Schizosaccharomyces pombe: one gene and its partners. The gene in region 1 interacts genetically with each later gene. Each region holds a gene or a part of one and is shown on either strand. Other genes may lie near its edges. The genes, in order: dad2, mad1, med1 and ccp1.

Evidence for each region.
Region 2: mutations in dad2 (region 1) and mad1 together harm fitness more than expected from each alone (negative genetic interaction), as found in Schizosaccharomyces pombe (3 studies listed by BioGRID, with this or other methods).
Region 3: mutations in dad2 (region 1) and med1 together harm fitness more than expected from each alone (negative genetic interaction), as found in Schizosaccharomyces pombe (3 studies listed by BioGRID, with this or other methods).
Region 4: mutations in dad2 (region 1) and ccp1 together harm fitness more than expected from each alone (negative genetic interaction), as found in Schizosaccharomyces pombe (3 studies listed by BioGRID, with this or other methods).

What each region holds. Positions count from the first base shown.
Region 1 is NC_003424.3:2,782,440-2,789,434, reverse strand, and holds dad2 (DASH complex subunit Dad2), read left to right. Parts: upstream 1-3,142; 5' UTR 3,143-3,286; coding exon 3,287-3,422; exon of another isoform or gene 3,423-3,453; intron 3,454-3,750; coding exon 3,751-3,899; 3' UTR 3,900-4,276; downstream 4,277-6,995. Other genes in the region: protein Pop6, read right to left, coding at 58-345; dynein light chain Dlc1, read right to left, coding at 921-1,136, 1,197-1,307, 1,357-1,365; porphobilinogen synthase Hem2, read left to right, coding at 4,505-5,494; serine/threonine protein kinase (CK1 family) Cki3, read right to left, coding at 6,501-6,995. UniProt on the Schizosaccharomyces pombe protein: Component of the DASH complex that connects microtubules with kinetochores and couples microtubule depolymerisation to chromosome movement; it is involved in retrieving kinetochores to the spindle poles before their re-orientation on the spindle in early mitosis and allows microtubule depolymerization to pull chromosomes apart and resist detachment during anaphase.
Region 2 is NC_003423.3:1,272,184-1,280,188, forward strand, and holds mad1 (mitotic spindle checkpoint protein Mad1), read right to left. Parts: upstream 4,891-8,005; 5' UTR 4,877-4,890; coding exon 4,765-4,876; exon of another isoform or gene 4,715-4,764; coding exon 2,796-4,714; 3' UTR 2,656-2,795; downstream 1-2,655. Other genes in the region: 3'-tRNA-processing endonuclease Trz2, read right to left, coding at 1-1,831; rps2501 (40S ribosomal protein eS25), read left to right, coding at 2,067-2,069, 2,120-2,360, 2,465-2,487; phosphatidate cytidylyltransferase Ptp4, read left to right, coding at 6,175-6,250, 6,288-6,526, 6,849-7,190; ribose-phosphate pyrophosphokinase Prs5, read right to left, coding at 7,719-8,005. UniProt on the Schizosaccharomyces pombe protein: Central component of the spindle assembly checkpoint. Has a role in the correct positioning of the septum. Required for anchoring mad2 to the nuclear periphery.
Region 3 is NC_003424.3:536,348-544,161, reverse strand, and holds med1 (mediator complex subunit Med1), read right to left. Parts: upstream 6,253-7,814; 5' UTR 5,768-6,252; coding exon 5,534-5,767; exon of another isoform or gene 5,488-5,533; coding exon 4,840-5,487; intron 4,798-4,839; coding exon 4,315-4,797; 3' UTR 4,150-4,314; downstream 1-4,149. Other genes in the region: pol4 (DNA polymerase X family), read left to right, coding at 605-2,125; translation initiation factor Tif5, read left to right, coding at 2,850-4,037; DYRK family cell polarity protein kinase Pom1, read left to right, coding at 6,437-7,814. UniProt on the Schizosaccharomyces pombe protein: Component of the Mediator complex, a coactivator involved in the regulated transcription of nearly all RNA polymerase II-dependent genes.
Region 4 is NC_003423.3:2,391,040-2,399,243, forward strand, and holds ccp1 (CENP-A histone disassembly chaperone Ccp1), read right to left. Parts: upstream 4,543-8,204; 5' UTR 4,523-4,542; coding exon 4,450-4,522; exon of another isoform or gene 4,360-4,449; coding exon 4,249-4,359; exon of another isoform or gene 4,180-4,248; coding exon 3,664-4,179; exon of another isoform or gene 3,571-3,663; coding exon 3,536-3,570; 3' UTR 3,404-3,535; coding exon of another isoform or gene 2,755-3,403; 3' UTR 2,664-2,754; coding exon of another isoform or gene 2,635-2,663; 3' UTR 2,530-2,634; exon of another isoform or gene 2,519-2,529; intron 2,468-2,518; 3' UTR 2,433-2,467; downstream 1-2,432. Other genes in the region: pib1 (ubiquitin-protein ligase E/phosphatidylinositol(3)-phosphate binding protein), read right to left, coding at 219-1,058; protein mug20, read right to left, coding at 1,512-1,565, 1,620-1,887, 1,931-2,064; tlg1 (SNARE protein Tgl1), read left to right, coding at 2,635-2,663, 2,755-3,403; eIF2 alpha kinase Gcn2, read left to right, coding at 5,636-5,752, 5,802-8,204.

The DNA of each region.
Region 1 (6,995 bases):
CAAATGAAAGAAGAATATTTTTGGTAACTTTGAAAAGAGTAAAAATTTGCGTATTATTTAGCTGTCATGCTCCAAAATCTGTAGGTCGATCTTCAACTGAGGAAGTGATCTCCGATTTCCGTGTATCAAAGTGTCAGAAGACTGCTCCTCGCTAGGAATTAATTCAATCGTTTGATTAAAGGGAATTTTCTGCTCGTTACAACGACGTTTTAATAGTTCAACTAGACTTACTAGTTTTACAGTAGCATCTCCTTCAGCCACAAAAGAAACTTGTTTTTCTTTGACAAAAGAATCCCACAACTTTAAAGAAAGTTGCTTAGCATTTATACTTTTCTCTATTATCATAGTTTATAAGCAAAAGCCTGCATGGCGTTTAGTAGGCTAATAACGTGGTAGTTAGACAGGTGCTCCCAAACATTAATTAATAAATTACATAGTTGAAACAACATTTTACTGCCTTGTAAAAAGATGTATGATTTTAATCTTAAAGCAAAGGTATATGATATAACAAATTTAAAATCTTTTTCGCTATTTTTATTGTAAGTACCTCAGTTTCTTGCTAGTCTTAGAGAGTTCAAGCAAAGTAAAGCTCGATCAAGCTAATACTGACACGATTCAACGTCCTTTGTAACCTTTGGAAAAAGGACGAACACGAATCGTATACACACCAAAATGCTTATAAAATACGAACATGTTACAGAGCGCTCACAAATGTCTGAATTTTAAGAAACGTAACTATCGTAGATTGCATATAATAGGAATAAGTAGAAAAGAAGAGTAGATAGTAAAGTTAGTAAATTGCAAAGTTAAAGGCAATTTGCATCTAAGGCAAAAACTGGTACCAGGGGATAAAAAGAGGGAATGAAACAAAGAGGTCTTTGAAGATGATCATGATTGGAACAGTTTCGATAATATGGTAATTAAATGGAGATCCACATAATGCTCAATACTACGTCAATAGCCTCACCGCTCTCTTTGATAGTAGTCATTCCATCCTTTTCACAATTCCAGCAAGCAGCGTGAGCTGCGTGAACGCCTCTAGAAGGATGATCTTCGGGAAGCTTTTGTACAAGAGTGGAACTAACAATCCATTTGTAAGACTGGGTTTCCTTATTCAAAGCATTTAATACGGCATACTAAATGAGACATAAAGTTAGCTACCATACATAGATATTTGTAAAATAAAATGAACTTACAATAACAGATTGATTCATTTCAGCTGTTTTGTCTCCGTCATATTCGGAAGCCTTCAAAACCGGCTGAGCAGCTTCTAGGCAAATTTCTTCAAGTTTTTTGGAATCTATAGGCTATTTTCATAATCAAATTAGTAAACGAATCGCGTATTTGACGACTTACACAGCTCATTTCGAAATGGGGTATTTTGATGAGTACAAGGAGGGTACGCAGTGAGATAAAGACACCCACAGCTAGTACGACGTTTAACGGTGACAACCCCATCGATACAAAGTTCAACGCGAACATAACTCACGTTAACATTTCTTTTTATTGTTGATTTCTTTTTGCTTTAAACCTGAAGTTAAGTAAGGATTTTTCGCTTACAGCGAATCGTCAACTTCACGTTGGGATGAATGAGATAATTCAAATAAAGCATCAAGTATTGCTTTAAAGGAAAACAGCGTTTATTTCTATTTCTTACATTCTTTAATTAATACCAATTTGAAAACAGTTGATGGTTGAAACATCGATAATTGATTTCGAAAGAAATGCATAATGATTTTGGAAACCATGTCTTCCTCTAACCGTAATAATTGTATCGAAAAAACTCATAATTACACATAATTACTGGTGTTTGGATTACCAAAAGACATTAATGTGTGCTTTACGCTTTTAACAATACTCTTAGCAAGTCCAGTTTCAGTAATGAATTGAGTGTGTTTCTTTGAAGACGGGCCGAAGGAAAAAACAACAATTTAAATTCTCTGAACTTAAAGTGTATAGAATCTGTTTTTAGTTATCGAAATGTTAATTCAGCATGAAGGGAAAGCGATTGTTTTGCTGTTCATAGAATCCAAGTATCAATGTAGCGAAATCATCCAAATCTTTAACTATTTGATCATTGAATAAAACTACAAGATAATTTATGTTTAGTATTCCTACCATTAGTTCTTTCAATAATTTTACAAAAATGGAGAAGATCTCATCGGTACTGCGATACATAAAGATGCTACTACCCAAAGATTTTAAATCAATGATCCTTTCAATCCCCTAACCCTTTTATCCTTTTCCTTTTTTTTCTTTCCTATAGATTATTTACTGACTTTTATTTACAGGGACATTCTGTGATATAACGGTATTATAACTTGTTTAATTGTTATATAAATGTAAACGTTATTGCCGAAAACCATGTATAAAGTGCGTTATTCTAAAACTGTATATAGAATATAATAACATACTGCGCGAAATTTAATTGTGAGATCGAACAATTCAGTAACTGAGTATTTGGAGTAATAGTGAATTTTTGCGAAGGAAAATACTCGATTACCATGTAAACAAGGGTTTGATGTATGTTAAAAAGTTGTTAATTAGAAATGGATAATAGCCACTCTATTATAATTTGTTCTAAAAAAGTTGGGTATTCTTTAACGACCCGTTGGAACCGATCATTGAAGAAACTTCAATAGTGGATGAGACATTTTATGAATTTTTAAATTAGTCAAATACGGTTCAAATTTTAGAAAACATACGTGGAAGTTGCATCCTGTCTAGAATAAAAAATTCATTTCCTTATGTATCGGAACGTTGACAATCTTGTTGACCAAAAGAATATACTATCGAACCCAAATCTTAAAAGTCTTTTAAGCCCATTATACCTTGTGTAAAAAAAAATAAAAATAAAAATAAAAGAAGAAATAGTAGAGAATATGCACAGTTTTGATCCTCTTTAAAACTTTAGAGGGATGAAGCAATGCATACTTACTTAGTAAAATATGGATATAATAAGCTAGCTAAACTTGACCCATTATTTGAGTAATTATATTCACTATTCAACATAGTTTCCTAAATTCATTATTACTTTAAATTAATGAACTAACTAATTTATTAAAGATGAAAACAAATGGTTAAAATTGAGTAAAATCAATCATTATATTTTTTGTTAGTCTCTATTATCAACCTCTTTATTAGTAATACATTCCGAGATATAAAATTCCAGAAACGGAAATTATTTGTTTTAAACGTATAATTACAAAACCGAAATCGCCTTATATGGTGTAGGAGATAAATCTAGTAAATTTCGTACCTTCTTCTACAAACATTTGGCGTGAACATGCTTCAAGCAAGGATTGAGGAAAAGCAAAAGGAATACGAACTAATATGCAAACTAAGAGATTCTTCTAATGATATGGTTCAACAAATAGAAACGCTTGCTGCTAAATTGGAAACTTTAACAGATGGAAGTGAAGGTATGTTCATTACGAGGAAAGTATATAAAAGAGCCTTGTCACCAATCTGTTTAAGTGCTATTCATGTGAACAAGTATAAATATCATTACATTGAGAAAAGCAAAGAAACAAGTGAATTGATTGGATCTGCAGGATTGCAAATAAAAGCAATCATTTGCCGACATGTCTCTAAATGAACTTCTACCTCTCAATAATTCACCTAAACGTAAAAAATATAATCTGTTTATTTATTTATTTTTTCTATTTTCACTACTACTCATACATGCTTGACGACTCTTTTTAATCCATTATAATAAATGTTTGACACTCAAATCACTAACAAAATCAGCTGTTGCTACTGTTCTCAATAATTGGCCCAGCATTTTTGAGTCAATACAGATAGCATCCCAACATTCAGGAGCTTTAGTCCGAATTCCTCCTTCTACTTCAAATACCAACGCATCTGCTACGGAGCAAGGCGATGTTGAAGAGGTATAAAGACTTAAATACTCTTTTTAATTTCTCACTGAAGTAGAAAAGGCCAAGAATTGGTTAAAATAAATATTATTGTTCTGTCCATTTATTCATATTGTTTCTTCTATTTCAGAATTGGTAAAGCCGACAGCAAACCCAAGTTCCAAGTATCTTCACTTCCTAATGAAATGGAGAATGAGATCACCTTGTAAACTAAATGATATCTAAATTTTTCATTTGGTCATTTTCTTTTGGCGTTCGTCCTGTTTCGCTTGTTTGAATACTCCCAGCATTCCCTTACGACAATTAATTTCTTCAAGGACAAACAATTTATTCAGGAGTGATACTATTGTTATGTAATCAACAAATATCGTGGTCCGATGCCCGATTTTTTAAAAAAAAGTTAAACTTATTTATCTTAACCTTCGCCAACCTCTCGCCATCTGCCACTTACCTTTTTAAAAATATTTCTTAGGAAATCTTGTTGATCTTCCGCTAGAACTTTTTTAAATAACCAATAAAAGGCGCTTTTGCTGGTCCATTAGTTCCATTTGTCACAAATCTGCTTTTTTTACGCAGTTTTACATCTTTAGGAAAAATCAAATAAATTTTGTCAGTTAGTATTTAATATGCCTGTTGATATCAGTTCTCTTTTGCATGCTGGGTATTCAAACCCGTTGCTTCGTGAATGGCAAGGTGTACGTCCCATTACCAAGTCATCTCTAATGTATCCTATCTTCATTTCCGAAATAGATGATGCTAAGGAAGCCATTGATAGCATGCCTAATCAATTTAGATGGGGTGTTAATAGATTGGAAGAGTTTTTGGGTCCTCTCGTCAAAAAAGGTCTTCGTAGTGTAATTCTGTTTGGTGTCATCGAGTCCAAAAAGGACTATTGTGGTAGCATGGCCGATTCCGAAAATGGACCAGTTATTAAAGCCGTTAAAGAAATTCGTCACCTTTTTCCGGAGCTGGTTGTTGCTTGTGATGTTTGTCTCTGCGAGTATACTGATCACGGCCACTGTGGTCTGTTATATGAAGATGGCACTATCAATAATGCTAAATCCGTTGAGAGAATTGCTGAAGTTAGTGGAAATTATGCCTTGGCAGGCGCTCAAATAATTTCTCCTAGTGACTGCATGGACGGTCGTGTTAAGGCGATTAAGCAGAAACTTGTAGAGTTGGAACTGTCTCATAAAGTATGCGTTATTTCCTATTCTGCAAAGTTCGCTTCTGGTTTTTTTGGTCCTTTCAGAGCTGCTGCTAATGGTGCCCCAAAATTTGGTGATCGCAGCTGTTATCAACTTCCCTGTAATGCACGTGGCTTGGCCAAAAGAGCAATTCTTCGCGATGTTAGAGAGGGTGCTGATGGTATTATGGTAAAACCGGGAACACCTTATCTCGATATTTTGGCAATGGCTTCTAAGCTAGCAGATGACCTTCCTATTGCTACTTATCAAGTTTCAGGCGAATTCGCCATTATTCATGCTGCTGCTGCCGCTGGCGTATTTGAATTAAAAAGACATGTGATGGAAACCATGGATGGCTTTATGCGTGCTGGCGCTAACATAGTTTTGACTTACTTTACTCCTGAATTATTGGAATGGCTAGAATATTAAACAAAAAATAATGCGAAATCAATCATCTTCAAAATTATCATGATTGAAAAATTATTTTGTTTATATTCTTTAATGGTCTAGAGTTTCACTTATGAAATTGTTTTTCGAATCTGCGATTACCGGTTCTTGTTTATTAAAAATTTTCGTTTATAATCTGTAGCAGTTATTTACGAAAGAAATTGTTTTTCTTTCTTTTAAAATACTTTAAATTCGTGTGTAGAACAAGATTTTATCTTAGACAACCGTAGGTTGCCAAATTATCGTGATATCCTATTGACTCCTTTTGCAAGCGATGAACGGACATGTTAAAAATTTAATATTTAATTTATATAATTTGATAGATTTGTCTCAATACTTCATGGCAGTTAGAATAAAGTAAAGTACATTATCCACGTTTACTGACTATAACTTTCTAGCATGATAAGATAAATTAAATATTCACTATACTTCACCCAAAGTAATTGGAGCATGTTCTTCTCAAACATCTTTTACCTTATGAGTCAACATTTGGTAGCTCAGTGAAGCTTCTGACTATTTATGTATATATCGATATAACTTACAATGAAAAAGTATGACAGCTGCAAATGATTCAAAAGTAAAATGCAACGACAAGGAACATGCTTCTACGCTCTTCAATTGCATATGATGCATAATGCATTGGAGTAATAATATGAATCTATGTATATAAGGTAGGACAACAATTAGTACTAATTAGAATCAAAATCTTCATCCTCAACACGTTCAAAAATTTCAAAATCAAAAAGAATGCCAACAAACACAGAATCTCATCTAGTGAGCATTTTTTTTTTGAACAACAGTAAGCAATGTAATTTAAGCAGCCGGGATTAACGTCACATTACGATTCCGGAAGAATTAATTTAAAGAAGGAATCGTATGGACGTATTATGTTGCAAATTGTAAGCGGATATTTAATAATGGGAAAAAAATAAAAAAAGTATCGACATAACAGTGAAAGACAAGAAGGAAAGACGTTGAATAATCATGACTATTCTTGTTTCGATATGCAGCAAGACAGTAAGCGAAGATGGAACTTCTTTCGTGATTTCTCTTTCGAGGGCGCAGGCTTAGCAGCTTGTTGAGTGTCTACCTGTGTAGGCTGGGTAGTCTGAGGAGCAGGTTGCTCCACCCGTTGCGGTTGCTGCTGTTGAGCGGAAGAAGTTTGCTGTTGTTGTTGAACTTGGGGAGAAGCCGCTTTCCCTGGTATACCATCTTTCTGCGTCGCAACACTGGCATCAACCACGTTATTGACTGGAGTTTGCTTACTTGGGCTAGAGAGCAAATTCTGGCGAGTACGAGCATATGGAGGAATAGTTGACTGCCGCCTGTTATTAGTACCCTGAGTATGTCGACGTTGGACGACATGTTGCTTAGCTGCACTGTATTGCCATCCTTTTCCGTTATTTAGGAGAGTCCAATCATACTTTCCGTCATCAGTTTCATTGATGCGAAGCAGTAAACTGTCGAACAGACTTCGTAGGTA
Region 2 (8,005 bases), on another chromosome or scaffold:
GCTGAATAGCTTCATGTTTCAAATCATCCTCAAAAGTCGATTCATGAAGGAGTAAAGAAGCACCTATACCTGCTTTGACAAGTTTTTCATTGGGTCGAGTGTCACCACTGTACACAAGTTTTCCGTATTTGGTGTGCGATATAATACAGGAATATGAATCATTTATGTGAATAGATGGTACAGAAGAAATTGAGAGATCGGAAGTTAACTGTAAAGGAGTGGTAACCGTTTCTTTAGCAATAATGAATATTATACGGTTCAACAATGCTTGCAAATTTGCTGGACTTTTTAAGCGCTGTAACCACTGCCACAAGAATTTGGGACCAATAATGTTTATATGCATACTGTTATTAGTATTTGCTTTGTTCCAAGCTTGCAATACATTCAATAATCCAAGATAATGATCGGAATGTAAGTGCGTAATAAAGATTGCTTTTAGTTTCCGAAGCATTGGCTCAGTATTTGTTCCATATTGGCGAAAAAATTGGGATATGGCTCCCTCGCCGCAGTCCAGCATGATGACTGTTCCATCGATTGCGACTGAGTAAGAACTTAAGCTTCTACGCCAAGTAGGACAGGTGGCACTAGTTCCTAAGACATCCAGCGTGTATCCTTCATTTTCAAAGGGTAAAGGATTAAACGAGCTAAATTTTTTAGCCAGCTTCACCGGACTATACGAAGGACTCTCTGAAATCTTGCACTGCTCATCATAAAGAACCATCGATGTTTCTTCCTTCAGGACATAAGTATTTTCAGGCAATTGTGTCTGTGTATCCAAAGTGGAAGGCTTTATATCGAAGGCAGCAAAATCACGGCAGGCTGGCAAAACATTTCTTCCCTTATTTCTTTGGAAAACAGGGTTATTACTGGCAAGTTCGATACACGAGATGAAATGTTGAGCACGAGAAAACTTTGGGTGAGATAAAAATTTGATATATTCTGGCCCCCAAATACCCTTTTCTAATATATGAATTATACAAGTGGGATATACGTCTGAGAATGAGTCTACATGTTTTGACATTTGGTTGAGGGCAGAAAGACTCGAACAACCGAGAACATAAAAGTATTGACGCTTCCTAGGAGGACCCACTACTTGATGAGGATAAATCCATGTAGTACCATCTTTGCTCAACACCGCTTCACCGGCGCATAACTTGCCGTTTGATGGGCCAAAAGGAACTCCTAGAGCTAAAGCCTTGTCCGCATTAAACACTCCAGCTGCCTCTTTGCTGTTGAAAGAAAGAAAAGACCAATTGGAGTATATATTCCCTTTAATCGTACAAAATTCCGGCTCATCTAAGTAAAAAGAATTCGTAGCATCGGCATTATCCTCACTTGAGAATGAATTAAGATCGAGTCGTAATGGACTTCCTGAAAAAAGATGATGAGATTTTTTAATAATTGAAATTACAGGTTTGGGAGCATGCAAACCCCAAGTGTTTTGTATACCACTGGATTGTAAGTAGCCAAAAAGGCCAGCAGTTATACCCCAAGCGTTCAGGGATTGTAAACTAGGTGGCATTAAAAATACACTGACAGATTTCCCTCCATAGTTAGACGCTTGACTTCGAAACTTCATTTGAGTCAGTTCTCCCATGCTTCCAATAAGGTACTTTCGATTATCGAGAGAAACGCATAGTAAAGGGGCTATGAGACTATCAGGATTCAAAGAAGAAACTACCGAAAGCATAATTCTATTCGTGTTTCTTTTGGATTTGTTTCGAAATGTCAATTGACTCTGCCATCTTTTGACACTATACCAAGAATATTTGGGCGGTAATAATTGACCGAATAGCAGCGCCCGCCGTGGAACCAGAAGAGAAGCTTTCATCCCAGCATCCTTCTGTTCAATATTTCAGTTGAATTGCAATTATTGATGCCGTTTGGAAGTCCAAGTCAAAGTAAGGCTACACCTCTTTTACTTTACCTAAGTCTCATTAGAAGCTCTAGATACTTGTTACTTGATTCGAATTCTGGTGGTAAATTTTTGTTACCCAGAGGCAGTCACAAATGTTTGGACTTCAAAGCAACACCAGAAACTTGTTACAAACCAAACTTCATCAAAAATGGTAAGTGTGGATTATACCATTTGCATTGAGTACTAATTCCATATTATTAGGCACCTAAGAAGAAATGGTCTAAGGGTAAAGTGAAGGACAAGGCTCAACATGCCACTGTCTTCGACAAGAGCATCATTGACCGTATCAACAAGGAAGTTCCTGCCTTCAAGTTCATTTCTGTCTCGGTTCTTGTTGACCGTATGAAGATTAACGGCTCCCTTGCTCGTATCGCCATTCGTGATTTGGCCGAGCGTGGTGTCATTCAAAAAGTTGATCAACACTCCAAGCAAGCGATTTACAGTATGTTAAAGTTGATTGGATTCGAGACTTTTTAGTACATGTTAAGAAGTCTCTTTTCTGTGATTTACATTTCTTGATTTCTTTTTACTAACATTAATGTCTAGCTCGTGCGGCTGCTTCAGCTTAAATGACTTGAGAACGAAAAATAAATTTATTTTGAAGGTTGTATTCAACAATTTCTATTGTGCGTATGAATTCGTAAGATGATTAAAATGGTTTAGCAGTTTTGACTAGTTTGTAATGGTGAAATATATTTAGCGCTTAGGCCAGTACAAACTGTTTACAGTTTCATTGTATCGACATTGAAGGATATATTGATATTATTAGTTAAACAATCTATTTCATAAAAAAGTATTACTTTTCACATTTTGATTATGCGTATTTGTTAGTGTACATATTCATCGCCTGTAAGATGATGCTTAAGGCGTAAGTTAATCAATCATTTTTGTCAAGAAGCTCTAACGTTAGAGCCGCTAACATGCCTGGTATTGTTTTGCGTTCATCACACCAAAATCGTATAAGGCGCTCAAATTCGGGGCCTGATGGATTACCAACCAATTTCATGGTGCTGGATTCGCCATCAAATATAAAAGCGGTATTATCTTCACGAGAATATGTGGATGTAACACGAACACTCCCATTAGGCATAAAATCGAGCTTATATCCAAAAAGCGAAAAAACAGCTTCGCGAAATTCCAAAGACTTTACTGAAAAAATCTCCTTTAACCGTTGAATTCTCTTTTCTCTCTCGGCTACTTCTTTCTTTAAATCCAAGGCCTTTCTTTCAGCTATTTTAAATGATTGTATAGGTAGACAATCAACCTTTTTATCTTCCAAAAGAGCTTTCAAAGCTGAGTTCTCAGCATTCAGCATCTCCAATTGCGCAGCTTTAATCCTCTCATATTTCAAAGTAGGATTGGATCGATGCTGTAATACTCGACATGAGTTTATTTCAGTAACTTGTGCCAGTTCTTGACGTAAAGTTGCTATGGAGGATTCCAATGTAATAATCTGCTCCCTTAGAAAGGCTTCAATGTTGGTTTTCTCTTTAACTTGAAAAAGCAAATGCTGATTCTTACGATATAGCTCCGTTACGTAACCAGCATCTTTATGTTCGTTTTTCCTGCGTCTCTTTTGTAATGAGACCTCATCTGAAGTCTCATCTACATCAAGAGATACAGGCATACTTTCAAGCTTTAGCTTATATTCATCAACCAGCTTGACCAGACCTTCAATTCTTTCCAACTTCTTCATATCAGTATTTTTTTCACTCAAAATCGCCTCCTCATCATCATAGCTTTTAAGGTTTTCCCTTAAAAGGTCAATTTCTTGGGTTGCCAAAGATTTTTGTCTTTGTAGACGTCGGTTCTGCTCATGAAGTTCTTTAAGCTTTGTTTCAAGTTCGGTAATATGAGCGGCGTCTTTTTCATTTGCACCAAGCGGCTGGTTTGCAGGCTTATTAGACAATTGACTCTCTAAACTAGAAACGCGCTCTCCGAGATTAGCATTGGTATTCTGTAGAAACACGAGTTTGTTTGAAACAGCTTCAGGGGTTGGTAACTCGTTAGTAATTAAACTCTTCCAAGAATTTAATTCAGTTTGAATTTTTTCATTTTCGAGTTCAAGGGTAGCAACCTTATCCCTATATTCTTCAAAACGATAAAGTTTGGACTCCAAATCGTTTTTCTCTTCCTTGAGAATTTCAACATTCCTATTATTGGATGATAGCTTTTCAATTCGTTCTTCCTGCGCAGCTTTTAATTTTTCCAACTCGCTAATTTGAAGACGTTGCTCAGCATTTATTTTTTCCAGTTCAATAGAACTAGAAACCTGCTTGATGGACTCTTCCAATTGCTGATTATGAACTGAAAGCTCTTGTAATTGCTGCTCGGCAGCCGCAAGTTCCTTACACTTCGTTTCAAGCTGTTCGCGGGAATCCGCAAAGAGTTTTTCAAGGTTTGTAAGATTGGTATCCTTCATTTGCAAAGCTTGATTTGAGACCATTACTTCATGATTCTTTTCACTTAAAGCTTGATCATTCTTTTCTATCTGGGTTTTCAACTCTGCAATCTCTTTCCATTTTGCATCAAGTAGTTCATGGATCTTCACCTGAGTGGCTTCCTTTTCATTTCTTACTTCTTCTATTTCTTTTTGATAAGAAGTAGACTGCTCCTCCAGTTGCTTTTCAACTAGAGTTAGACGCAGCTGTAACGAATTCTTCTGTTCATGTTCTTCTGCAAGTTTTCTTTGCAACTCAATTTGTTCACGCTCAAATTCCAGTTCCTTCCGCTTTAAATCATTTTTTAGGTTTTCTAGTTGAAATTCTAAAGAAGCTAGTTTGGGATTTTTTGTTTCTACAGGGTGTCAGATCCATAAACAAACGTCAAATATAAGTTTCACATACCATTAGCAGAATTAACAGAAGGCTTCTTCAAATTTGGTTTCTTAACGCTTGTTGCTAGAAATCTAGGCAACTGTGAACGCGATTGGAACGGATCCCTAGGAGAATCCGCCATGGATGTAGTCGCTTGATACACTGTCAGCTTGGAGCTCATAGTGAGAAATTGATTTTTGGTATACCTCTTTAATATAATATTGACAATATGGAGGACAAATTGCATCTCAGTAATTTATTGAAATCAGGGAATTAAAGAAAGGTAGGACTGACTGCATATGCTCAAACAACATACTTGTTTAATGATATCTAAATTAATGGAACTTATTACTTTTTCTTTTTTTTTAAATCATAGACCTTGTTATTATTATATTATATATTTAATGTGTTGAATTCCTTAATCAATTTTCGATGCACGTGTGAACATAAAAGCTTTTAAGTCTTCTAGTTTTTTTATATTGATATTATTATTATTTATTTAAATTGCTAGACCAAATCGCGTACCCTAAGGAACTTACGTAGTCTTAACATAAATTATAATAGTTTTTTTTTTTTTTTTTTTTTTTTTTTTTAATAAAACTTCAATTTGAACAATTAACCAATAACTGAAAATAAACCTGATTTTGAGCAGACTTATTATTATTAAATAAAAATTATTACTTCTAGTTCATCAACTAAAGAATAATGGTTTTCGCATTTAATTTTCAAAATTGCTTGGCAATGATATAAGCTCTAAAATGGTTTCAGTTTCTTTTAGGAATTTTATTAGCATACATATTCAAGTTATCATTTTACTTTTTAATAGAAACTTTCGCGTACTTGAGAATTGTCTTTATATTTTCAATTAATTCTCCCATATTTGACAACAAAAAGCGAAACGTAAGAGCTCACAATAGCATCTAAAGTTTCGTAAAGTAGCGAAATCCACGTTGCGCTATTCTGAAGGTTCAGTGACTTATAAATGATTCTGCATTGGCTGTATGTCGATGCAGTTATTAATTCTCTTAATATATCATCTAAAGAATATTTACATCTAAAGCCATATAGTGTATAACCCATTCGTTTTGATACTGAGTCATCCTGCGAATCACTTTCAAAGCTATGCTATTCATCTAGGAAGTCGAGCTCTTATATTGGCAGTGATAAATAAATAAATTTTTTCCAACTGATGAAGGAAATAAATCGGTTTCTTTTGGGACTCTCAGGAAGTCATTCATTCTATTAATTTTGACTTTAGCTCATAATGTTTACGGAATAAGGAGGAATAGTGCAACGATAAAAAAATAGTGAGCTATATGCGAGAACATTCCTTGCCTCGCATATACCGATTCCTTGCATCACGGCCGGTATCGCTATTTTTTTTTTACCCATTAGAAATACCTTTAGATTGGAAAACACTACTGAGCGAATACTCATCCAATGTCGACTAAATTGACGTGGTCGCAATGGTCCAAAAAGCATGAAATTCCCCGTAAAGCACTCCATACTTCTATTGGTAAGTTGTTTTTATGACTTGGATTAACCGGGTCTAGGATTTTTTGCTCTATTACTTCAGGGATGTGGATACCACGCTGCTCAAATCATACCGGTTATAGAAATTGGATTCATACCTGCATTTACTGGAGATGTAATTCGTTTTAACTGGCCAGCTTTCAGCCGCCTTTACAATCGCGTTATTGGTCCTTTGATGCGAGAGTCCGAAAAAAATGCATGGAATGGTGTTATTTTTTATATGATCGGGGTATGGATTGTTTTAAAAGTTTTTCCAGAGGTAAGTAAAAGTCATTGTAATGTCTATCATTACTGTTATTATTCTTTAAGAAAAAGGAAGATATGGTTTTCCTTGTTCCAGGCGATCCGAAGGGTTTTGTTTTTTACTGGACATACTACTCTATAGAACCCATTTTTTCACGGAGAATGATTTTCTATTCTAAGTATTTGTCAGACCAAGCATATTGTTGTTGCATAGAGTTTAAGTTAGTATTTTTGATCATGATTACTCAAATCTACTTTGCCTTGCTTGATCTTTTCCTAACTTCACCTTCCTTCTTCTTTTACTTATATATTATGCCATAGTTACTAACTAAGTTCAGGAGATAGCAGTAATGAGTGTCCTTTTACTGTCATGGTGTGACACTACTGCCTCAACCGTTGGTCGAAAATGGGGCAAGTATACCCCGAAAATTGCCAAAAATAAGAGTTTGGCTGGAAGTTTGGGCGCATTCGTTTGTGGTGTTTTTTGTTGCTATGTGTACTGGGGCTTGTTTCGTACCGGTCCTGACAGCTTGGCCGCTCAAAGCAGAATTCCTTTCCCTTGGCTTTGCTTGATAAATGGATTTATTGGTGCCTTTGCAGAAGCTATGGATGTGTGGGGTCTTGACGATAACCTTGTAATTCCTGTCGTTTCTGCCTGTTTACTATATTTAATCATGTGATAACCATGTTCTTTTATACTGACATTCTTTTGTTTTTTCCATTCGTCCTTTCCCGACCACGTTTGAAAAATTATTGAATATAGTTATGTTTTGTTGATTCGCTCCTCCATTTATCACCATTTCTATTGTTCATCTTTTTTCCGTCTAACCAGTATGCGTACATACTGTTAAAATGTATAGAAATACCTACAAGCTTCATTACCCAGACAATTTTAGGCTTTTTGTATGAAACATGACGAAATCGTGCAATTAGACTGCCTATATAGTTTCTACATAGCTTGTACATATATAATGGTCGTGAAGAACCTTATATTTAGCAGTTTTACACTAGAGATTAGCTAAGTTGAAATTAGTTTTAGGAAATTAGCTTGATAATCATTTTGTCAACTCAAAGTAAATAATAATTATTTCCAATGTAACTGTCTAAAGTTAAAGTAAAGAAAAAGGACAATTGATAGTATCAAAAAAAATCGGATAGTCTTAAGCCAACTAGATCAAAACAAATTAAATAATATGAACAACGTACAGTTAAACCCAAACTTGATTGTGGTCATACAGTATTGAAATACTCTCACCATTGTGTATGCGACGAATTGCCTCCGCAAAGGTAGGAGCGACATCGATTATGTCAAAACATCCACTTGGTGTAATAGTTTGAGGAGCGGTGTTTGTAACAATAAGCTTGTCAATGCAAGAAAGTTTTACACGCTCAATAGCATCTCCTGATAAAACACAGTGAGTGACGAGAGCATAGATTTTGCTAGCTCCATGTTCTTTGACAAACTCTGCTGCTCGAACTAGTGTGTAAGCGGTAT
Region 3 (7,814 bases), 2.2 Mb from region 1:
TGCTGTGCAACAAATACTTTAACTTATAGTTGAACTGCAAAATTAAGAAAAGTTACGTTACAAAATGGAGTACAGAAATAAGCCAAATTTTATCACGTTTAATTATTCTTATTTGAATGCTTTAACGTGTAGTATTTTTGTATATTGAATTATTAGTTTCACCGTAGAACTGTTGATACAACTAAAGAATTCTTTGGGATAAGTTGAATTACAAGCAAATGATTGCGATAAACTGGATAGAATGCAAAGCGATTTGCAATAGTACTTAAACAATAGCACAGAAATAATAAAGAAACTGTATGATAGTGTAATTTCAAAAGTAGTTTGCTTACGTATTATTAACATTTTTTTTATTCCTTTTAATGTGTCATTATTAGCACATAAGGAAAAGTTGCATTGCTCTAAAATAAAATTACCTTAAAACATGTCGGTTTCATCATCATGTCTATCATTGCTTTGTAACTTAGTAGATGCTTTATTGTGCCTTTAGCTTGTTTTTATTTTCCATATTAGTTTGTTCTAAGAATTGGGTAACCTCGAAATTTATTACAAGGTCAATTAATAGGCAATACGTTTTTTGTTCCCTTAGTTGTAATTGTTCAAAATGAAGATTCTTGCAAGCAGTACAAATTATGTACTACATAATCGCTTGTCCAATTCACAATATGAAGATGCGCGATCAAAAATTGTAAATTTTGGAGGAGAATTCACAAACGATGCAGCAAAAGCGGATTACATTTTTGTCAATTACAGTCAAATTAACAGAGTTCGGCGAGAGCTAAGAACAATTGGAACACCGTTAGAGACGTGTGTATCGTGTAAGTTGATTGTTAAAATTGACTGGCTTAACGAGCCTAAAGAATCTTTAACGCCCGGGAATCCATATGTGATATGGCATCGAAAACCAGAGATGAAAGTTGGCTCGCCGTACACACCTTCAACAAGACCTGCTTCGCACACTGAAGCACCAAACGATTTTGAAAACCACGAAACTCCAAACACAGAAAATAATAACGAAGTTAAAAGCATTGACAATGTTGATCAAGAAGGATCAGTTTATCCGACTACGAAAGAATACCCTTACGTTCTTGAAATTCCACGGTATGCGTGCCAGAGAAAGACACCGCTTAAATGTGTCAATCAAGCCTTTGTGAATGCTTTAAGTGTCTTGAAAACATGCAGAGAAGTAAACGGTGAATCAGTAAGGACTAGGGCATACGGAATGGCGATTGCAACCATTAAAGCTTTTCCCTTGCCTATCGATAGCGCAGAACAATTAGAGAAAATGCCCGGTTGTGGGCCCAAAATAGTACATCTTTGGAAAGAGTTTGCATCAACGGGAACCTTAAAAGAAGCTGAGGAATTTCAGAAGGATCCGGCTTCAAAAATTTTGCTTTTATTTTACAATATTTTCGGAGTTGGTGCTTCTCATGCTGCTGAATGGTACCAAAAGGGTTGGCGTACGATTGAACAAGTTAGGAAGCACAAAGATTCATTTACCAAACAAATAAAAGTTGGTCTGGAGTTTTATGAAGATTTTTGTAAAACTGTAACCATTGAGGAAGCCACGGAGATTTATGAAACTATTGTCTCACGGATGCCGGATGGAATTAAAATTCAGTCTTGTCTAGTAGGTGGATTTCGTCGGGGAAAGCCTGTTGGAGCGGACGTTGATATGGTGTTGAGTCCATCACATACTCATTCTACAAAACATCTGGTGGATGTTCTCTTAAGAATTTTAGACGAGGAATTTCAATTCCGACTAATTTCTGTTCAGGAACATTCTTGCGGAGGAAAGAAAGGTTATGTAATGCTAGCAGTCATTTTGTCAAATTCTTCTAAAATCAATAGGCGTGTTGATATTATAGTAGTGCCGCCTGCATACATAGGCTCTGCCGTATTAGGATGGAGTGGAGGAATATTTTTTCTTCGCGATTTGAAGCTTTATGCTAACTCTCATTTGGGTCTAAGCTATGATTCGTTCGAAATCATAAATCTTAAAACAGGAAAAGACATATGTCCCGACGAATTTAATGAGTGGAAGGATCCCGTGGAAGCTGAAAAAGACATTTTTAGATATTTCTCCCTAGAGTATATTGAACCAAAGTTTCGTAACACGGGATAGTAAATACCTATCTTGACCTTAAGATCGCCACATTACTAACTCGCGATTTCGAAAATTGTTTTACGAAGCTTCTTTTAATTTATGTTTCTTTGCTACCCGACACTTTTAGTAGATTTTTTGCTAAAAACTTGAAATGTTTACACATTTTTCCAATCGGTCTATTAGGAAACGAAATCCTTGGAACAGAAATGAGACATCAAACAAGTAAATTTATCAGAAATCTCGAATTTAAAGAGAGGGAAAATTGAGGTCTAACAGTTTGGTATACAATGAAGCTCTATGCGAATGCTGTGTTTACAAAATATGGATTTTTTTTAAAGACGAATAACGATTTTTAACGTCATGGCGTTAAAATGACAATTTTACTCATCTTAGGGCACGTGACTGGAGTGGGTTAAAAATAATAAAAAGTTGTGGCTGCAACTTTTGTTTTTTACCAAACACCTTACCTTGACACATACCTTTGGAAAACCATCACCAAAGGACTTTCATGTTTGAGACATCGTTTAAAATACAAAACTGTGCATTTAATCAACGTTCAAGGACTGGCCATCTGAAATAAAAGGAACATTTTAAAGATAATACGGATTTTTTATCGAAAGAGTGACTTGTTATGATATTTCAAATTTTAGAATAAGTCACAAGCACTAAGCGCTTTTTAAAGACATAAAGTAGAGCAAATTTTTTTATATTACCTAAAAAAATCATCGAGACTGTAATAACAATGGCAACCATTAACATCCGACGTGATGTCAAAGATAGCTTCTATCGTTATAGAATGCCAAAACTGCAATCTAAAATCGAAGGCAAGGGAAATGGTATAAAGACTGTAATCCCGAACATGTCCGATATCGCTAAGGCGTTGGGAAGACCCCCTTTGTATGTAACTAAATTTTTTGGTTTTGAGTTGGGCGCCCAAACCACCATTATTGCTGACATGGACCGTTACATTGTGAACGGTGCTCATGATGCTGGAAAGCTTCAAGATCTGTTGGATGTATTTATCCGCCGTTTTGTGCTATGCGCTTCTTGTCAAAATCCGGAAACTGAATTAAGCATTAATAAGAAGGATCAGACAATTTCCTATGATTGTAAAGCTTGTGGCTATCGTGGTGTCATTGACGGTCGTCACAAGCTTACTGGTGTCATCGTCAAGAACCCTCCTGCAAAAAAGAAGTCCCACAAACATAAAAGGGATTCTCCTGTTGCAGAGGAAGAAGATGGTGCTGAAGACGAACTCACTCGTAGAATTCGTCAAGAAGCCGCGGAACTCCCTACCGCTGAGGTCGTAAATGACGAAGATTGGGCTGTGGATACCAGTGAAGAAGCTGTTCGTGCTCGTGTTCAAGAGTTAGAAGGTAATATGAAAGATTCGCTCACTTTGAGTGACTTACGTGGCGACGAGGAAGAAGCGGAATCTAGCCGTTATGATCAATTCGGTGAATGGCTTGAAGACAACTACCCTGGTGTTTCTGATGTTGAAATTTACAAAAAGATGAAGGAAGAGAATATTCATCATAAAAGTAAAGCTATTGTTGTACTAGTTCAATGTATTATTACTTCGCCTTACGTTGGGGAGTTTGAAAAGCATGGTGCATTGTTTAAAAAGCTTTGCACGACAGATAAACATGAACGTGCTCTTCTTGGTGGGTTTGAACGTTTGATGGAAAACACTGAATTAGTGCACATCGACGTTGTTCCCAAGGTACTCTTGGAGATTTATCAGAATGACTTGGTCTCTGATGACATGTTTGAGAAATGGGGAGCAAAGGCTAGCAAGAAATATGTGAGCCGTGAAACTAGTAAGAAGATTCATGAAGCTGCTGAACCTTTTTTGACATGGTTGGCTGAAGCAAGTGACGAATCTGAGAGTGAAGATGAGGAGGAAGAAGAAGAAGACGACGACGAATAAGAACGGCCTCTTTTTACTCTCTACCACAATTTGTGCTTTGAGAATTGAATAACTTACAATCCTGTTCTCTAAAATATTAAGCTGATTCTTTCAAGTTTTAGCAAATTAGTTTCTCGTAAGTTGAATATATCTATTAAAGTGTTCTGATTTTTGTAAAATAGGCTAGCCTTTTAAAGTGTTCAATTTATACTATTCAAAACATCCAACTAATTCCATAATTTCATTTTACTAAAGATTTTTAAAACTGATTAGTAATGTCTTTTTCTAGCATGAAATTCTAATTAACGACTTTCTTTATAAACACTTCTATCGCAAGTCCGATGTTACATGTTTGTTGTATAAGTTTTTGAAAAACATGAGACTGTTGTTTTGACAATTCTTTGCCACCACTAGACATATAATCAACATTCAGTCTTCCATCTGACAATACGGATAGAACAATGATAATTTGTTCGGAATTATTCAGTTTGTTGATTTCTTGATATTGGGCATGAACGATCGGATGCTCCTTAAAATATAGAGAGAGGTGAAGGGAGGAAGATGCCGCAGTCTCTGCTAAATCTGCTGATTTGATATTTTCCAAAATCAATTGTAATAATAAATATTGGCGTACAATAGCAAGTATTCCTCGAATTTGCTTGGGATGATGAAACGGTACGTGACGCAAAGAACGTGCGGAAACATCGAACCCTGTTAGCTGGATGGCTTGATTTTTATTAATGAATTTGTAGTTCACGGTTGATTTTGAAGGTAAACCAAGCTGGTGAAATTAGTTAAGTTGATATTTAGGGAAAGTACTTACCATATGACTATAATTTTGGACAGGCCAAGGAATGGTAATGTCATGGACATGAAGCAAATCAAGTAAAGGTTTGACGCCCTGCTCTGGTATTATTAAATTGATATCATCAAAAACTAGTTCCATTGTTGTAGGAATAGGTGTCAAAGTATTTTCAAGTGCCCAATTAATTTTTGATGATTGGAGGATAGGAGGAGAATTTAATAAATTATATCCGAATAACAAGTGAGGTAGCGACTCATGAGACAAATTATCCATAAAAATTTGAGTGCTATAGGTTTTATCCAAAAGCTTCCAGTATACAATACGCAAACCAAGTTGTCCTTCGTAATTACTGAGAGGCTTTCCGTTTCCATGCATTATAACATTTTCTTCTTGTGCTAGCAAAGATAATTCTGCTTCATAAATAGCATTTAAAGAAGAGGATAGTGAGTCTAAATATTGGAAACAACTTTGTTGGACCGAAGGAGAGGAGTGATCAAAGGTAGCCAACCATTTGACATTCTTTTCAAATAGTGGGGTATTGCAATTGTAAATTGCATCCTTAAGTAATTTTTCTGCAACAGGATTATTATATTGCTCACCACTAGCGTTTGCAAAAGCCAAAACAACGTTGATATCTTTTGGAGACGCATTTATGGGAACAGTGATCTAGATACTAATTAGTAAAACGGTTATGTACAGGATTTAAACTTACGTCGATCAAAATTATTTTTCCAGCTAAACTGAGGACCACTTCATTGGGTTTGGAGGAGTCTTGAAAAACCTCCAGACCATACTTTTTAGCCAAATATTCAAATCCAGTTACAGAGATATCATTCCAAGGAACTGATGATAGACAATCAATCCAATAACGCGTCCAGTTAATCTGATTGGGGTTAGAGGCGTTTCGACGGAAATGAACTTCAGAAAAGAGATGTGGTCTATCCATCGAAAAGATTATTAAAGAAGATTTAGTAAATTAGTCGTGTATTTCGTATTTAATCAGCTTAAAACACTGTATATAAGCGCAATTTTATGTCTGTTCAGCGAGCAATTTAATTTGTTCTGCAAAAAGGAAGCCTTTACTGCCATCAAACTATTTGCTAGAAACGCATTAATTGCAAAAACAAGTAGGTAATTTTGAACCGCCTAAAACTTAGTTTCAATGGGAAGGTCTGTGTGATTGATTTATCTTTATAACGAGGGTTAAAACAGTAGTTATGGGGAATTTTATATGTATACAAATGAAAACCAATTTTAAACCTTGGACTAAAAAAAACCCAAAGTATGTTCACTCAAACTCTTTTTAAAGCATCAAAATATATATGCAGTAAATCTTAATAAAATATTTTCTTTTTGGTAAAATTTGTGCACAAATCAATAAGCGTTCTATGTTTCATTTACAGCTTGCGTGCCCTTTCAGAAGTGGTTGGTATTGATATGCAGGGTGTAGCGCGGCTTTAATTAGCCACGAACGTACTGCTACTAGTTTGCATTTTAAAGAAGATAAGAGACTGTAACTGAAGGAGGGAGCTTATAGAAACAATATTTTGTTTCAAAAAAGCCAGTAAAAGCGTAATATAGTGAGAATTTTGGCTTTTTGAAGCAAAGTTTGCAAATGGGCTATTTGCAGTCCCAAAAAGCGGTTTCTCTGGGCGACGAAAATACGGATGCATTATTTAAACTTCATACATCAAACCGGAAAAGCGCAAACATGTTCGGAATAAAATCTGAACTATTAAACCCATCTGAACTTTCTGCCGTTGGTAGTTATTCCAACGATATTTGTCCAAACCGCCAGAGTTCTAGCAGTACAGCAGCAGATACGAGTCCTTCGACGAATGCCTCAAATACGAACATTTCTTTTCCGGAACAAGAGCATAAAGATGAGTTATTTATGAATGTTGAACCAAAGGGAGTTGGTTCATCTATGGATAATCATGCTATTACTATACACCACTCGACTGGCAATGGTTTACTCCGAAGTAGTTTTGATCACGATTATAGACAGAAAAACAGTCCGAGGAATTCCATACACCGTTTGTCAAACATAAGTATTGGTAATAACCCAATCGATTTCGAGTCATCTCAGCAGAACAATCCTTCGTCGTTGAATACTTCTTCACATCATAGGACATCTTCAATATCGAACTCTAAGAGTTTTGGAACTTCCTTATCATATTATAATCGTTCATCAAAGCCTAGTGATTGGAATCAGCAAAATAATGGGGGGCATTTGAGTGGGGTTATATCTATTACACAAGATGTATCATCCGTTCCTTTACAATCTAGCGTTTTTTCCTCGGGGAACCATGCATACCATGCTTCAATGGCTCCAAAGAGATCCGGTAGTTGGCGTCATACTAACTTCCATTCTACTTCACATCCCAGAGCAGCTTCTATTGGAAATAAGTCTGGAATTCCTCCTGTTCCAACTATTCCTCCTAATATAGGTCATTCCACTGATCACCAACATCCTAAAGCAAATATATCTGGATCCCTTACGAAATCAAGTTCAGAATCGAAGAATCTTTCTACAATCCAATCCCCTTTGAAGACATCCAATTCTTTTTTCAAAGAACTTTCCCCCCATAGTCAAATAACCCTTTCTAATGTTAAAAATAATCACTCACATGTAGGATCACAAACCAAATCACACTCTTTTGCTACCCCCTCTGTCTTCGATAACAACAAACCTGTTTCATCCGATAATCACAATAATACTACTACATCATCTCAAGTTCATCCCGACAGTAGAAATCCTGATCCGAAAGCTGCTCCTAAAGCGGTTTCTCAGAAGACAAACGTTGATGGGCATCGTAACCATGAAGCTAAACATGGGAATACTGTCCAAAATGAGTCTAAATCACAGAAATCTTCCAACAAAGAAGGTAGATCTTCAAGAGGTGGCTTTTTTAGCAGATTGAGTTTTTCGAGAAGTTCTTCTCGTATGAAGAAAGGAAGTAAAGCTAAACACGAGGATGCCCCTGACGTAC
Region 4 (8,204 bases), on another chromosome or scaffold:
GTATTAGTATATGTATAAAAATTCGACATCCCAATGTATGATTACAATGCAAGAAAAACAAATTCGAAAAGAAAGGGCATAACTGAAATAAATAACCAAGTAATGATACAATGTTAGATGCCTATACCTAGAAATAATAGGAGAGAGAAGACAGCAATTTAATCATGCAAAAGCAACCGAAGCCGAAATTAGAAACCTAGAAGTAATTTGGAACGATATTAAGATAAATGCAGTGTAGCGGCATGAACAGGACAACCAGCAGCCCCAGTACTCAGCCAATCACGATAACATTTTAAATGAAAAATGCATAGACAATATTCTATCCTTGCAACTCTATCACCAGCAGCAAATTCTTCAAAGCATATAATACATTCTTGCCCCAGGCAAGGAGAAGTCTCTGATAGCTGCATACTTATGTATCTTCTAGCGTGTTTCAAAAATTCAGTCATGTTTCTTGGAGATGAACTATTATTACTTAGACAATTCGCAACATGAGATTCCCGTTCAGAAAGGGTTTTAAAACTTGAGAGAGGAGCATAGCAAACTGGACATTCAACAAAATCATCAGGCTCTTCAATCCTCTGCAAATTGTTTCCACAGGAAGACTGTATAACTTGATTGTTAGATCGAGTAGTGGTATCATCGTTCAAACAAGTAGTGATAGGATAGGGTAAATCCAGTTCTTTTAGTTCCGACAATTGCTGACGACAATTGACACAAACTCGTACATTGATCCATGAAGAGTCTTGTGAATCATTATCATCATCATTATCATTAGCAAGAAAATCAGGATCTCTAATAAACATGTCTTGTGGGATAAGATCCTCAGTTGGATCTACTGAAACACTGCTCACAGGAAGCTTTGCAAAACTATTGCAGCAATTGTAACAAAAAAGTTTACCACACCATCTACAATGATGTCTTCTCCGAAACCAGGTAAAAGGACCACCACAATTATTGCACTGCGCACTTTCATCGTCCAGTTGCCAAATTGCCGCCGGCGTTTCAATGAGTAAGCGTCTCAAAGCCTCTGGATAAGTCGTCTCATCCTCGTCCATACTCAATTTGATAAAAATTCATTAAACTATGTTCGAGAGCAAAAAGTTGAGTACCCGCTAGAATGGTGTTGAAAGTTGCCTCAGGAGATAAGGTCAAAACAAAAGGGTAACTTATACTGATCAAAGGAATATGATTACCGGTGGAAGTGGAAAACTCACTGCATATCGCAAAATAAATTTTTTAAACTTCGTTAACGTAAGAGAATAAGATAATAAGTCATTTAGAATATCAATTGTAGTAAATATCAAAAAGCTATCCAAGAAGAATAACTTTATCAGAAATTACGCATTTAAACATCTTTTCTTTATGTATGTTTCATAGAGCTCAGAAGCAAATTTAGCGCCGTTTCATTTAGACCTTAATATAACGATGTCAGCGTGTTTGATGAAAGTTGACTTTCTTCGTTATTATCAAGCTTGGTTTGAGGCAGTATGACATTAGATCTCTGAAATTTAAAAATTGTCGAGAATAGCTTTATGAGTTGAGGTTTCAATCATCTTTAGTTTCTTTAAATTTATTGAGGTTAGTAATATGACAATATAATTTGTTTTTATGTTTACCTCCATTGCACATTTGAGCTTATTTTGGGAATTACGACGATGCTGAACTAAATTCTTCTCAAAATTCTGGGAAAGTGCCTGAAATTCTTCCAATGCATATTCTTGGGAAGAAATAGAAGAGATCTTACTATTGACGGACTCCAATTCTGCGTTTATACTATTATATTCCACCAACAGGTTTGACAGGTTTTTCGAAGCATCCAGCTGTAATTTATCTAAAGCACGAAGCTTCTCCTCTGTCGTTCTTAGGCTTTCTAAAATCACGTCTCTGAATTGTTGGGTCAATTAGCTGAAGAAACTTATGGACGTACTTGACACGTGCATTCAAAAAATATGAATGCAATGCACTATCATGATGCTCACTGAATGCTAATACTGCTTCAGATACCATGTTAGCATGGCGATTGCTCAGCTCTGTTTGCAAAGACGTTATAATTTCAGACATGTTGTGGTTCTTGATAACATGTTAATAGTGTCTACGCGTCTTTTGTTTACATCAAGCTAGCGATATATAGCGTACTGTTTTAGCTCACAAGACTTTCTTTGTGTTCAGTTTCTCTTAAAACATTTAGTCTTAGGTTTTTAGCAATAGAATTAATTTTTTAGCACAAAGGCTAGAATGAAAGATTGCTTTTGGCCATTGAAAACGTTTTATTTACCTAGATGTTTACATTTAATCTAACATACAACGGTGGAATACGGTTGAATCAAAACAAAATAGTGACAAGGGGAGGTTGCTGTTTTTTCAACAAGATTGAGATATTGCTTTCTTATTTATTCTCCATTACTTGTTTTGTAAGGACTCAATGTTTACGGTGATCTTTGAGTGAGCAGTTAGGTAGCGTTATCTATCGTAAAGTCGTTACTTGACTGAATCAGCACAGTACTTTAGTATTTGCAGACAGCATACCTGATAATACGAATTTGCTTCGTTTATTTTATATTATCTTATTTTTCTTTAAATTATAAAAGCATTTCCAAGTAGAAAATTGGCTCATATCTCTACATCATCAACATGGAGGACCCCTTTTATGAAGTCAAAGCGTAAGTTGTGCAATGATGAACCAGAAATGTCTTAATAGATTCCTTTTGTTGCTTTAAGATTTTATTTAACTGACATTTATTCGAAATATAGGGATGCATCAAATCAAATGGAGCAAGTGCGAAAGCTTTACAATTCTTTTATGGCCGCACGAAACTCTGGAGTCCTTTCACCAAATACTGAGCTTACTTACGCCATTGATGAGTTAAGCGAAACATTGAAGGACTTAAAAGCTGCTGTGGAAATAGCGATGAAAAATTCTGAGCATTTTGGGTTAGATGAAGAAGAACTAAAGTCGAGAAGGAGATTTGTCTCGGAACTGGATATTGAGTTAAACAATATACAGTTAAAGATGGGTGCTGCCCCAAGCACACCAGTTTCTACAGAACCTTATACTGTTGACAATGGTGCCTCAGCTGGTTTGTCTGAAGAAGATCATGCTGTCAATCGACAATATCAAGAGCAGCTTTATCAGCAACAAGACGTAATGCTGGACGGGGTTTACGACACGATTGGAAACATTCGTGGGCAGGCAGCTTTGATGGGCGAAGAATTGGGTCAACAGGCTGACTTGTTAGATACTCTTGACAATTCCATTGAGACCACTAATAGTAAGCTTCGCAGGGGTATGAAGCGGTTGAAAGATTTTACGATTGCAAGCGCAGACTCTAAATCTGGATGTTGTATTACCGTACTCATTATCATCTTAATTGCATTGTTGGTATTGGTTATTGTGCTGTAACTAAATCTTTATATTGTATTATTTAATTCTTTGAACCATCTTCCCAATAAACGAATAACCAATCATTCCATAGGTAACCTCGAGCTTTGGGAAGACAAAAAAAATTTCATGTCTGTGTTCTCGTTCCTTAAATTAATTAGACTTCTTGGACTTTTTGGAAGGTGGTTCTGCGATTTTTGTGTTAGTTTTACAATACATTGACATCTATCATATCATCTATTCATGCTTTCGCCTTATTTTTTTAAGACCTGTTTTCGTACCTTGCTTTTCTTCGTCCCCTTCTTCGTCTTCTTCGTCTTCTTCTTCCTCATCTTCCTCCAAATCTACTGACTCATCCTCATCACTCGCTTCTTCGGTCATGGCTTCTGTAAAATATTTTACAGCATTTGGAAAAAGATCCTCTGCCAGAAAAATTGTGAGTGTTGCTCCATCAAAATCATCGTCCTCTTCCTCTCCGGTCCATTGAAAATAGTCAAAAAAATTAGGAGGTAATTTTTTATTTTTTCTAAATAAACTCTTTCCTGGTTTCCAATGTATATCAACAGGTTGCGAAGTATACTTGGTTATCTTTTTTTCCAAACCCTCATCATCCTTTGCTTTTTCCTCTTTAATTCTCACTTCTTTTACCAAGGTAAGGTTGTCGTCCTGAAGATATTCGTTTGGTTGAAAGGTAAGCGAAATTCGGACATCCCTTGGTTCCTTTTCATTAAACCTTTCAACATAAATATTTTCGAGTTTTTCAAGTAACACACTATCTTCAGGTGTTATGTACTGGCCTGAAATAACTTAATTAGAATTTCAACAATGTTTAAACAAAAACAATAATAGTATACAATTTTACATACTGATTTCATCCCCAGCAGCTTCCAGAACTACTACCCAAAAGTTGTTAATGGTCTTCAAAATATCACGACGCTGCTCAAAAAGCGGTTGAAAAAGCTCATTTTGTTTCTTCACTAGCACCAAGATACATTAGCAATTGTTAACACATTTTTTATAAAAAACGTAATTTTATGCTACAAAAATGCAAAATCGATTAAACATACATATTTCGATTTCTGCTTTTCCAAACTCTTGCTCTAGGTTTGCGAGATTTTCAAAAGCTTGAGCTGCCTCCATTTTGTAGGTTAATTTCGTGCAAGGGAGAAAAATCTAATAGTAATTCGAAAATTCTCACTTCGTCAACGATGATGAAGGCACTACCCTTACCACGTTTTTACGTACGATGAACAATGCTAGCAAAGTATATCAGAGGCTTTACTTTCCAATATAATGACTGCCGTAGCTTCTGTAGCTTGCAATAATTTAACCTTGACTTTTTCAACAGTATACAAACCATCCATATTACTAGTAATCGAGCAGGATTCTAGTTTTTAACTCACACCATTTTCATAGGTTGTTTTTATAAGTGTAATAACTTATTAGTCTGAACAAAGAGTAAAATTAGAAAATAAACTGTAGTTTGCGCGGTTTCGAGCTTTCAGGCTAGCGTGCTTGCATTTTCCAAACTTCTCCTGACCATGATGAAGAAAGGAGAGGAGGAAAAAAGGTATAACATTTCGAATGCAACTACAAATTTGTATTATATTGCATTATATGAAACGCTGTTATAGTTTACTGGTGTATCTATTTTATCAGTTATGAAGTATGTCTTTGTAGTTTAATCAAAAATCCATGATTATGGTAAAACAATGAAGAAAAGTTAACCAAACGCGATTAAAAGTTAAAACTTTTTGACCGCTTCACTTCAAACAATGAAGCGCTTTGCATACAAATGCAGATAATCATTATATCCAACTGTTCGTTATCGATTGAAGATCTGAAGTCTGATTCATCTTATCCAACTCAAAATTACATCTTAACTAAAGAATGTATGATCCGTGCCGATTATCGCATTTATTCGGCTCAAATCAATCTATACTCATTACAATACCAGTATACTGCGTTCTTCCATCTTTAGTATACCACGAGCGAGAAACTTCTTCCTCCAGCAAATTCGCGGCAAACAAGCAATTTATCTAAAAATCCAATTCAGAGGAAAGAAAAGAAATAGAATTGATAATAATTATATTTTCAAGTCCTATATTGCCGTCCTGATATAAACTGATTTGCTTTCTTTCCTTCCAGTTTACACAGGACGAATTTTCAACCAACAGTTTAATTGTGAATAAATATATTTGCTTCCTATTAAACTAGTAAATTATTGGCAACAATAGTTGGTAAAAGCTGTTCATGGATGCGGCGAAACGTCTGGAACTATGCAAGGAAATTCAAGAAAATGAAATTGAGGCCCTCAAAGCCATTTTTATGGATGATTTTGAGGAGTTGAAAGTTAGGAATGCTTGGAATGTATGATTAATGTTTGTTCACTACCCATTTACTAACAATGGTATCTTAGGTTACAAACGGCCATGTTTATTGTATACATCTATGTTCAAGAAGTGCAAACTCTAAAAGTATTGCGAAACTTGATCTTTGTATTGAGCTTGGAAGAAGCTATCCTTATGTGAAACCAGTGATCAAGTTACAAAATGGAGAAAATGTCCTAAACTCTCAGATTCGATTTTTGCTTGATAAGTTAGATACAAAGGCAAAAGACTTGCTAGGAGAGGAAATGATTTTTGAACTTGCCAGTATAGTGCAGGACTATCTTAATGATTGGCAGTCTGACCTCTCTTCTCAATTTGCTAGCTTGGAAGAGGAACGTGCGGTACAACTAAAGCATGATCGAGAGAGAGCGGAAGTGGATTTACAACTTAGGTTAAAACGGGAGAAAGATGCCTTATTTGAGGAAGAACAAACGCTTCAGAACAAAATTCAAGATGAATTACAACGCCGCTCATACGAAACACCGCAATCTTCTTCTAAGAAAAAGACGAATAGTAAGGAAACAACTTCTCTCGAAACCCTCCCAACTTCTATTTATTTTGATTGTTCTATATCCGTTAGAGACTGTCACGATTCTTTGGTTACATTTAATAGAGTGCTTCCTTTGTATACAATCTCGCATTCCAACCTTTCTACTTTGACTTTGGTCAAGCCTGAATCTAAAGAGATATCTTTACAGGATTGTGTTTTTCTACTTAGAACCGTCCGAATTAGTACGCCTTACTGGAGTACAGAAGACGGAAAACGTGAAATACAGGAATTAGAATATGAACTTGAAAGTCTGAAAGTTATTCGGCATGATTTACTAGCTTCAATTTATGAGTATCAACTGGAAAGAGAGACACGAGGTTATGGTTGGAGGTTGTACGTTTTGCAAGAATATTCTCCGAAGTTCACTCTGTTTAGTCTTTTACAAACCGTCCTTACTTTAGACGTTGAAACCGTTAGAGCTTTTTCAAACAATATTTTAGAAGGTTTAGCTGAGCTGCATCGTCTTGGAATTTCACACAAAAGTTTGCACTTGGACAATGTGGTGCTTTTTCATTCAGGCCATAGAACTTTTGCAAAGCTAATGGATTTTGGGTTTACACGCACTTTACGAGACATGAACGCATCTCATCCTTTTAACATTAATTCTCAATCCATTACCAATATTCTACCGGAAGGGCTGTATCCCCCAGAGGTTTCTGAGTCATCATTTGCAGCTGCATCGAGAAAAACTGACATCTGGTGTTTTGGACTATTAGTATTGCAGATGCTTTGTGGAGCTCACGTTTTGAATAAATTCTCTTCACTAAAACTGATTATGACTCATGTAATTCCTCTTCTTCCGGGGTCTTATCAAGATTTGGTTCGTCGCTGTTTAATGCGCGATTCAAGGAAACGCCCTAGCGCCATTGACTTGTTAAGTAGTCATGTCATTCGTTTGGGTACAGCAGTTCTTCCTCCAGTTGAGCAGGGTACCTTTTCAAAATCTGCACGCCCTTCTTATGGTGGTCAACAGGATGGAATTATTGATTTGTTGTACAGGAAAAGCGTTTCACGTTATGAAACAGATTTTGAAGAACTTGAATTTTTAGGACGTGGCGGTTTTGGTGAAGTAGTTAAAGTCAAAAATCGAATTGATGGAAGGTTTTATGCGGTTAAAAAGCTTGTCCTTTTGAGCGATGATAAAGAGAATAGCAGAATTTTACGTGAAGTTATGACTTTGTCTCGTTTACATCATGAACATGTAGTGCGTTATTATACTGCTTGGGTTGAAACTGAAGCTAATGATACTGTAACTGAGATAATTAGCTCCGATAGTGAGTCGTTGAGTCAATCTTTAAATATGGCAGTGGACTTTCGGCAATCTTCAAGTCTTCCAGCCGATAAGCTTTCTAGCCTCGATATTCACTTTGAAGATGATTATAATTCATCTGCAGACGAGGAAGACCCTGAAGCTTCTGACATCTCCTTTCAGTATTCTAATACTTCAGATAAAGAAGGTTCTTCCGATAAAGACAGCAGCATTGAAGAAGCTTCTTCAGTTAAAACACAAGAAAATGGTTTGAATGCTACGCTCTACATACAAATGGAATATTGTGAAAAGTTGTCATTGCAAGATATCATACGAGATAAAATTCCTGTGGATGAAATGTGGCGGTTGTTTAGACAAATTTTAGAAGCTTTGGCATATATTCACAGTCGGGGAATGATGCACAGAGATCTTAAGCCTGGAAATATTTTTTTAGACGAAAATAGAAATGTAAAGCTTGGTGATTTTGGCTTGGCTACAGAAAATGAAAATTACCAAGATAACAATGACAAATGGAAAAATCGCCAATCAGCAGATGAAGATCTCACAACAGGTGTCGGTACAGCTTTGTACGTAGCTCCTGAACTTCTCAGTAGGCGTAATGGGGTACGCTAC